Xenopus tropicalis: one gene and its partner. The protein of the gene in region 1 binds, or shares a complex with, the protein of each later gene. Links are inferred from orthologs where the notes say so. Each region holds a gene or a part of one and is shown in the gene's direction. Other genes may lie near its edges.

Region 1 (3,817 bases):
GGAGGCGTTTATGGCTGGGATTTGAAAAGAAAATTAATAAGGTAAAGTGGAACAAGTGCCCTCCCTTGCCAGAAAGCCTTTTAAATTGAGACTTGCCAGTTTGGCGAGGTTGTATTCTTATCATGGCACAACTAACTCCCAAAAAGAGACACCCCATTGTATCATAACCTGTGAACAGATATTAACCTGTCACAGTTTCTAGTTAGTCTTAAAGGGATACTGTCATGATTTTTATAGTGTACTTTTTATTTCTAAATGACTAAAATTCTAAATTAGGTTTGTCTGTATAAAGAAAATTTTTCAGCACACAAACAATTTATTCAAAGCGCAATAACACATTTTTTACCATATATATGACACTTATTTTAATATTTGGTGGCATTATGACATCCATTAAACTATAAGATACCTTCTGTGAATTTGTTGTGCTTGAGAACTGTGTACTTACTGACACTTTTGTGAATTACCTCCATATATCCTGGTTGGCTTCTCTAATCCTTGTGCCTTCCTTTACAGCCGGGGGGCTAACTTTGTAACTCAGGTGTTGCTGAGACCAGGTGCCTCTGATTTAACCGGAAGCTTCAGGTATGTAGTTCTTGGTTTTTTTTTCTTTGTTTTTTGTTTTTTTAAACACGAAAGCAATTCTGAAAGCACCAATAACATCAAAATAATATAGTGATGAACTGCTGTAACAATAGGTAAGTCTTATTCCCCCTTAGCTATCTTAACAGCTTTACTTTTAATCTTGGCCAATGCAGAACTGCACTGGCCGGGGTGTATTGGGCGAGTGTTCATTGTTCCTTCTTCGATCTTCACTCATGCACAGTACAGTTAAAAGCCAACTTTAACAAAAAAGCTGTCTTTTTCGCGCAACTGGGCATGTGTCGGCCCCAGGATTCTGAAGAAAGAAGCCAGAAGGAAGAGGAACGCTTGCTCGCATATGGCCCGGGCCTGTGCAGTTTTTTCCTAACAGGAGAAATACTTCCCCCTTGCCTCTGTCCCTATATATTAGGTACCTATATAGTGCTACCAATCCCTATTTCTGTAGGGAAATGAGAGCAGAGCAGGCAGTAACCCCTCCAACACTTTCCCCTGTCTCTGCCCCTATATATTAGGTACCTACCTAGTGCTACCAACCCCTATTTCTGTAGGGAAATGAGAGCAGAGCAGGCAGTAACCCTTCCAACACTTTCCCCTGTCTCTGTCCCTATATATTAGGTACCTATCTAGTGCTACCAATCCCTATTTCTGTAGGGAAATGAGAGCAGAGCAGGCAGTAGCCCTTCCAACACTTTCCCCTTGTCTCTACCCCTAAATAATGGGCAATTACACTTTACAGCATGGACAGTTTATTTCTGTCTGCATTGAACCATTGAACTATATACTGGTGAAATCATTATGCTCTTTCTTAATGGATATATTTAATATCTTTATATATAGACTATTCATGGTGTATAATCAAAAAAATGTTTTAAATAATTTACAGGTTGTATAGAAAAGATGTGCTGCAGAAGCTGGTGGAGAGGTGCGTCTCGAAGGGCTATGTTTTCCAGATGGAGATGATTGTCCGAGCTCGGCAACTGAATTACACCATTGGAGAGGTAAGACCAAGGATAGAACAATTAATTTTGAGCTAAGAAAATATCTGAGATAACTTGAATAATTGCTTGCTTAGGAAGACAATCCCTATGCTGCCATAGTTTTATGGTATCTCTCTGTACAGGCTATGAGCAAACTTAGGGGGCTGTTCCTGCTGAATTGTGCTTAGTACAGGGGAATCCCTATGCTGCTACAGTTTGATGGAATCTTTCTGTACAGGCTATGAGCAGACTTTGGGTGTGATACCTGTTATACCTCTGCTTGTAATTTTTAGTTTCAGTAACCAGTCCCTTTTGGCCTGCCATGGCCCCTGTACCTTTAGGTCACACACCAGGTCATATAAGTTTCGCTTCTTGAATTTGTATAGATTATAATGATGAGTACTGAAAATGATTACCATTTTCATAAAAGCTAAGGATAAGCAAAGGTGCAATAAATATAATTATTTATATTTTCTTGAATCAGATACAAAGAGGAAGAAACCAATGGTATAACTGCCATTTACTGTACCATAAATAGAATGCTCATGATAGAAAATGTTTCTTAAAAAATCACCACCCAGAGGACAAAATGAAAATAAAACAAATTCACTTTTAAAATGTGTATCTAATATTTTAATTCTGATGTAATTATATGTACTAGAATTATTATATAGTATGTAATTATTCATCTATTGGCGTATCAAATGCAAAAGTCAGCTGTTGTTTCTCTGCTCTATGAAAGGGACTGTCCTTTGCACCCCTAACTTCCCCCACCCTCAAAGTCCTTGCCATCTCTCATAATGCCGGGGGTTGTTTCAAATCAGGTCACATGATCTGAGCGCAGGATACAGGAACTGACATGGTTGCCTGGGGCAATAGAGATATGCTAGTAAATATAGGGAGAGGTTGTCTGGCTAGGAAACCTGACAAAAAAGAGGCCCATTGTCTTCATCTTAAGGATTGTAGGTGCACAGTGTCTAGCATTCCAAATACTAACTTTCTGCCTGTGGATGACTGGGCATGCTGGGAGTTGTAGGCAAGCTGCTGAGTAGTAAGCATATGTGTTTTGGGCTTTGGGTAAGGCATATGAAATGAATCCCTTTTTTGGATTTTTTTTTACAGCATAAAGCATTGTACATTTCCAGGGTTAGCAGAGAAAATAGTGTTCTTTTCTCCATGTTTATTTTAAAACTGTATTGTTTCATAATGAAGAAAAATGATATTCTACGCAACTTTCCAATATACATTCATTACATATTTCACTGTTTAAATATCATTGCAGTTGAATGCAGTGTCTGTCTTCCCTTTCTGTTATCTGTTTCTGACCCAGAAGTCCATTCTTCTCCAGGTCTGTTAATCAGCTGCCCTCTGCTCATTCTGGAGTGCAGAGAATAGATAGGCAGACACTGCTTTTAAGGCTAATGTCCCATGAAGAGATTAGTTGCCCGTGATCTCTGCTACCTTGGGCAACTAATCTCTCCAAAATGCCTTTTCACCAGCAACAAAGGGAATAGGCAATGGAAAGGCCTGCGCATCGCTTTGGTTTCCCGTGGAACATTAACATAACAGCAAGAATATTTCTATTTTAGGGCCAAGACACACGGAGCTACTTATTAGCTTGGTGCTATAAGAGACATAAAATTGGGCTGAGGCAAATGTTCAGCCTCAGGGCCAAGGATCTAGAGCTGCTGGGCAAAGCAATTATGTATTTCTTACATATGTTCCTAACCTCCATTTCTGCTACTCTGATCTGCAAGCCCCCTCTGCAGCCCCTTATTTGCATGTCTCCGCCCACAGCAATTAAATTATTTGTAATTATACAGAGCCTAAGGACTATGACACATGGCTTGTAAATGCCAGAAAATACCCTGCCATAGACAAAGAAAACACAGAGACAATTATCAGCATTGTTTATTTTTGTAGCCATGAGAAGTAACTGCTACTAGTAGTTATTAGGGTAAAGACACACGGGGCAATTAGTGAGTCTCGACTAATCTGTGTAGCGAAAATTTCCGGGCGTTTAGTCGCAGTGACTTCTATTTTTTCCTATGGCGGAAAAGTCACTGAGATTAGTTGCCACAATGGACTTTTTAAAAAGTTGCAGCAACTAATCGCCCATTGTGCCTTTGTCCTTAGGGTGAAGACACACAGAACTACTAGAATTTGTACTAAAATAGACAGTACTGTCCTCCTGCAGGCAACTTTGCGCGACTTCTGTAAACAAAGTGATGCAAAGT
Region 2 (4,546 bases), on another chromosome or scaffold:
ATATATAAGGGCTCACTGTGTATGGGGGCTGTATATTCCCACCCAGGGGCCACAGTATATATAAGGGCTCACTGTGTATGGGGGGCTGTATATTCCCACCCAGGGGCCCCAGTATATATAAGGGCTCACTGTGTATGGGGGGCTGTATATTCCCACCCAGGGGCCCCAGTATATATAAGGGCTCACTGTGTATGGGGGGGGCTGTATATTCCCACCCAGGGGCCACAGTATATATAAGGGCTCACTGTGTATGGGGGGGGGCTGTGAGACCACCCAGGGGCCCCAGTATATATAAGGGCTCACTGTGTATGGGGGGGGGCTGTGAGACCACCCAGGGGCCCCAGTATATATAAGGGCTCACTGTGTATGGGGGGGGCTGTGAGACCACCCTGCTCCTGGGAGAGGACAAGGCTCACTCCCCTGTCAGTGCTCGGTGCACCCCCGCGTCCCGTTGCCTGATGGATGGGCCCAATGACAGATATGGGATTCTTACAATCAGAGCCCCCCCCCCGGCTGCCTAATGAGCCGTTCCACCTGCTGTATCCAGGCTCTGGAATGGCCCATGAGGGGCTTCCCTGGGGGGGGGGGCACAGGGGCCCGGGTCAGTTGTGGGAGGGGCAGGCTGGTGCCACACAGTAGCCATTACTAACGGCTCTGTAACAATACAGCATTGGGCCGGGGGAGGGCGCCACTGAGGGGCCCAGTTTATACAGGAGACGCTGCCCGTTGCTGAACGCTCAGTCAGGATGAAAGCAAACCGGCCTTCCTAGATTTTCCCCCCTATAATAACATCGTGCATCATTTTTACTGGGCAGGCAGGTAAAATACCGGCCAGGTGGCAACTCTATTCCCAACACTACTGCGAGGGGGATGCTGGGAGTTGTAGTCCACACTTTACAGTCCAGTAACGAGATGTACCTTTACTAGGGACACATAACAGAGAAGGGTCCAGCTTTAAGGCTAAGATACAATAACCAACCGGGGATAACAGTGGGTGGGGGTTCCGTTCCGGGGCTCACAGGTCAAATGTAACGCCTTCCTCTCTGCTTCCCGCGCATTCTCAGGCGCCTTTCCCCTCTCACTCACATACGCATGCGCACAGCGCTACCTGGCGTGGCTCTGCTCCATCTCCCATACTGCACCGCGCGCGTCAGTAACTAGCCAAGCGCATGCGCATTGTCCCGCTAGCAACATGGCGGCAGATAGCTTCAACTCCATCTCCCATGCTGCACCGCGCGCGTCCCTAACTAGCTCAGCGCGTTGTCCCGCTAACAACATGGCGGCAGATAGCTTCAACTCCATCTCCCATGCTGCACCGCGCGAGTCAGTAACTAGCCCAGCGCATTGTCCCGCTAGCAACATGGCGGCAGATAGCTTCAACTGCATCTCCCATGCTGCACCGCGCGAGTCAGTAACTAGCCCAGCGCATTGTCCCGCTAGCAACATGGCGGCAGATAGCTTCAACTCCATCTCCCATGTTGCACCGCGCGTTATGCTACGCCTATTCATCCTCGCCTGCACGTTTCTCCAAATGCTGCCGTGTATCTGCGAGCGGCGCTGAGTGATGAGGTAGAGGGGCGGGGCCAGCAGTGACATTTATAAAGGGAACAGGTAGGTACTGTTCCCGAAGTACCGGGATAGTATGGGAATAGCGGGGAAAGTACTGGGAGAGTATAGAACGGGAGTGTGGTACTAAGGGATTATGGGAGGGAGCAGGGGCTACTGGGGGATAACATAAAGGGACTGGCGGTACCGGGGGATTATGGGAAGGAGAGGGGTACTAGGGGATTATGGGAAGGAGAGGGGTAATGGGGGATTATGGGAAGGAGAGGGGTAATGGGGGATTATGGGAAGGAGAGGGGTACTGGGGGATTAATGGAAGGAGAGGGGTACTGGGGGATTATGGGAAGGAGCAGGAGTGGTGGGGGATTATGGGAAGGAGAGGGGTAATGGGGGATTATGGGAAGGAGAGGGGTACTGGGGGATTATGGGAAGGAGAGGGGTAATGGGGGATTATGGGAAGGAGAGGGGTACTGGGGGATTATGGGAAGGAGAGGGGTACTGGGGGATTATGGGAAGGAGAGGGGTACTGGGGGATTATGGGAAGGAGAGGGGTAATGGGGGATTATGGGAAGGAGAGGGGTACTGGGGGATTATGGGAAGGAGAGGGGTACTGGGGGATTATGGGAAGGAGAGGGGTACTGGGGGATTATGGGAAGGAGAGGGGTACTGGGGGATTATGGGAAGGAGAGGGGTACTGGGGGATTATGGGAAGGAGAGGGGTACTGGGGATTATGGGAAGGAGAGGGGTACTGGGGGATTATGGGAAGGAGCAGGAGTGGTGGGGGATTATGGGAAGGAGAGGGGTAATGGGGGATTATGGGAAGGAGAGGGGTACTGGGGGATTATGGGAAGGAGAGGGGTAATGGGGGATTATGGGAAGGAGAGGGGTACTGGGGGATTATGGGAAGGAGAGGGGTACTGGGGGATTAATGGAAGGAGAGGGGTACTGGGGGATTATGGGAAGGAGTGCTGGGGGATTATGGGAAGGAGAGGGGTACTGGGGGATTATGGGAAGGAGAGGGGTACTGGGGGATTATGGGAAGGAGCAGGAGTGGTGGGGGATTATGGGAAGGAGAGGGGTAATGGGGGATTATGGGAAGGAGAGGGGTACTGGGGGATTATGGGAAGGAGAGGGGTACTGGGGGATTATGGGAAGGAGAGGGGTACTGGGGGATTAATGGAAGGAGAGGGGTACTGGGGGATTATGGGAAGGAGAGGGGTACTGGGGGATTAATGGAAGGAGAGGGGTACTGGGGGATTATGGGAAGGAGAGGGGTACTGGGGGATTAATGGAAGGAGAGGGGTACTGGGGGATTATGGGAAGGAGTGCTGGGGGATTATGGGAAGGAGCTCTGGGGGTGCCTAACTAGTCCTACATAAGCAGGGGATGAGGGGCCCCGCTGCATTAAGTGTAAAGGTGTTGGGGAGCAGCATGGCTGTACCCACATTATTAGCTTGGTTGGGGGGCACTAACTTCACCCTGTGGGTAAGGGGCCAATATGCTGTAATGCCGGATCACATCATAAATAAAGGGGAGATCTCCAGTTCTGTTACCATAGTTACGTTTGCCTTATGTCCCCTTAGGTAGCCACATACCCCGGGACACGTTGGCTCCTGCGCTGGCACTGACATCCCACCATGACCAAGCTGGCAGAGTGGCTACTGGCACTGAGTGTCCTGGGGGCCGCCTGGGTTACCCTGAACTTTAACTTGCTGGGCTTGGATCTGCCCCCGCCCCTCCAGCAGCTCCTGTGGCCCCTGCCTGTTTATCTGCTGGTCGTGTTTGGCTGCTACTCTCTGGCCACCATTGGCTACCGCGTGGCAACCTTCAACGACTGCGAGGATGCGGCCCGGGAACTGCAGCAGCAAATCAGCGAGGCAAAGAGAGACTTGGCCCTGAAAGGCCTGAAATTCTGATTATTCCTCTGGGCACCGGCGCCCCCAGTACGGACCAACGTGGCACCCAATGGGCAGGGTTTCTCTGGCGCCCCCAGTACGGACCAACGTGGCACCCAATGGGCAGGGTTTCTCTGGCGCCCCCAGTACGGACCAACGTGGCACCCAATGGGCAGGGTTTCTCTGGCGCCCCCAGTACGGACCAACGTGGCACCCAATGGGCAGGGTTTCTCTGGCGCCCCCAGTACGGACCAACGTGGGACCCAATGGGCAGGGTTTCTCTGGCGCCCCCAGTACGGACCAACGTGGGACCCAATGGGCAGGGTTTCTCTAGTCTGATAAATAAAACTTCTGTTTATCTGATATGTGATACCTGTGTCTCTTATGGGCAAGTGCGGGGGCAACTTAGCTGCCCTGTGTTCCATAAAAGGTAGCCCACCCCTGATTGGCTATGTATTGCCCATGTGACTGTATTCCCGCCCCTCTCCCACCTACACAGAAAGTACCTCCCCCAGATACCCAGGGAACCCCCTGTACCTCCCCCAGATACCCAGGGAACCCATTGTACCTCCCCCAGATACCCAGGGAACCCCCTGTACCTCCCCCAGATACCCAGGGAACCCCCTGTACCTCCCCCAGATACCCAGGGAACCCATTGTACCTCCCCCAGATACCCAGGGAACCCCTGTACCTCCCCCAGATACCCAGGGAACCCCCTGTACCTCCCCAGATACCCAGGGAACCCATTGTACCTCCCCCAGATACCCAGGGAACCCCCTGTACCTCCCCCAGATACCCAGGGAACCCCCTGTACCTCCCCAGATACCCAGGGAACCCCTGTACCTCCCCCAGATACCCAGGGAACCCCTGTACCCCCCCCCCCCCCAGATACCCAGGGAACCCCTGTACCTCCCCCAGATACCCAGGGAACCCCCTGTACCCCCCCAGATACACAGGGAACCCCTGTACCTCCCCCAGATACCCAGGGAACCCCCTGTACCCCCCAGATACCCAGGGAACCCCCTGTACCTCCCTCAGATACCCAGGGAACCCCCTGTACCTCCCCCAGAGATACCCAGGGAACCCC

What was found.
Region 2: dpm1 (region 1) and dpm3 share a complex: the UniProt entries of both Homo sapiens proteins name them as parts of the dolichol-phosphate mannose (DPM) synthase complex. The link is inferred for Xenopus tropicalis from reciprocal best matches to the Homo sapiens genes DPM1 and DPM3.

Annotation. Positions count from the first base shown.
Region 1 is NC_030686.2:35,640,382-35,644,198, forward strand, and holds part of dpm1 (dolichol-phosphate mannosyltransferase subunit 1), read left to right. Parts: coding exon 1-41; intron 42-516; coding exon 517-585; intron 586-1,486; coding exon 1,487-1,601; intron 1,602-3,817. UniProt on the Homo sapiens protein: Transfers mannose from GDP-mannose to dolichol monophosphate to form dolichol phosphate mannose (Dol-P-Man) which is the mannosyl donor in pathways leading to N-glycosylation, glycosyl phosphatidylinositol membrane anchoring, and O-mannosylation of proteins; catalytic subunit of the dolichol-phosphate mannose (DPM) synthase complex.
Region 2 is NC_030684.2:145,949,464-145,954,009, reverse strand, and holds dpm3 (dolichyl-phosphate mannosyltransferase polypeptide 3), read left to right. Parts: upstream 1-1,576; 5' UTR 1,577-1,619; intron 1,620-3,145; 5' UTR 3,146-3,201; coding exon 3,202-3,480; 3' UTR 3,481-3,822; downstream 3,823-4,546. UniProt on the Homo sapiens protein: Stabilizer subunit of the dolichol-phosphate mannose (DPM) synthase complex; tethers catalytic subunit DPM1 to the endoplasmic reticulum.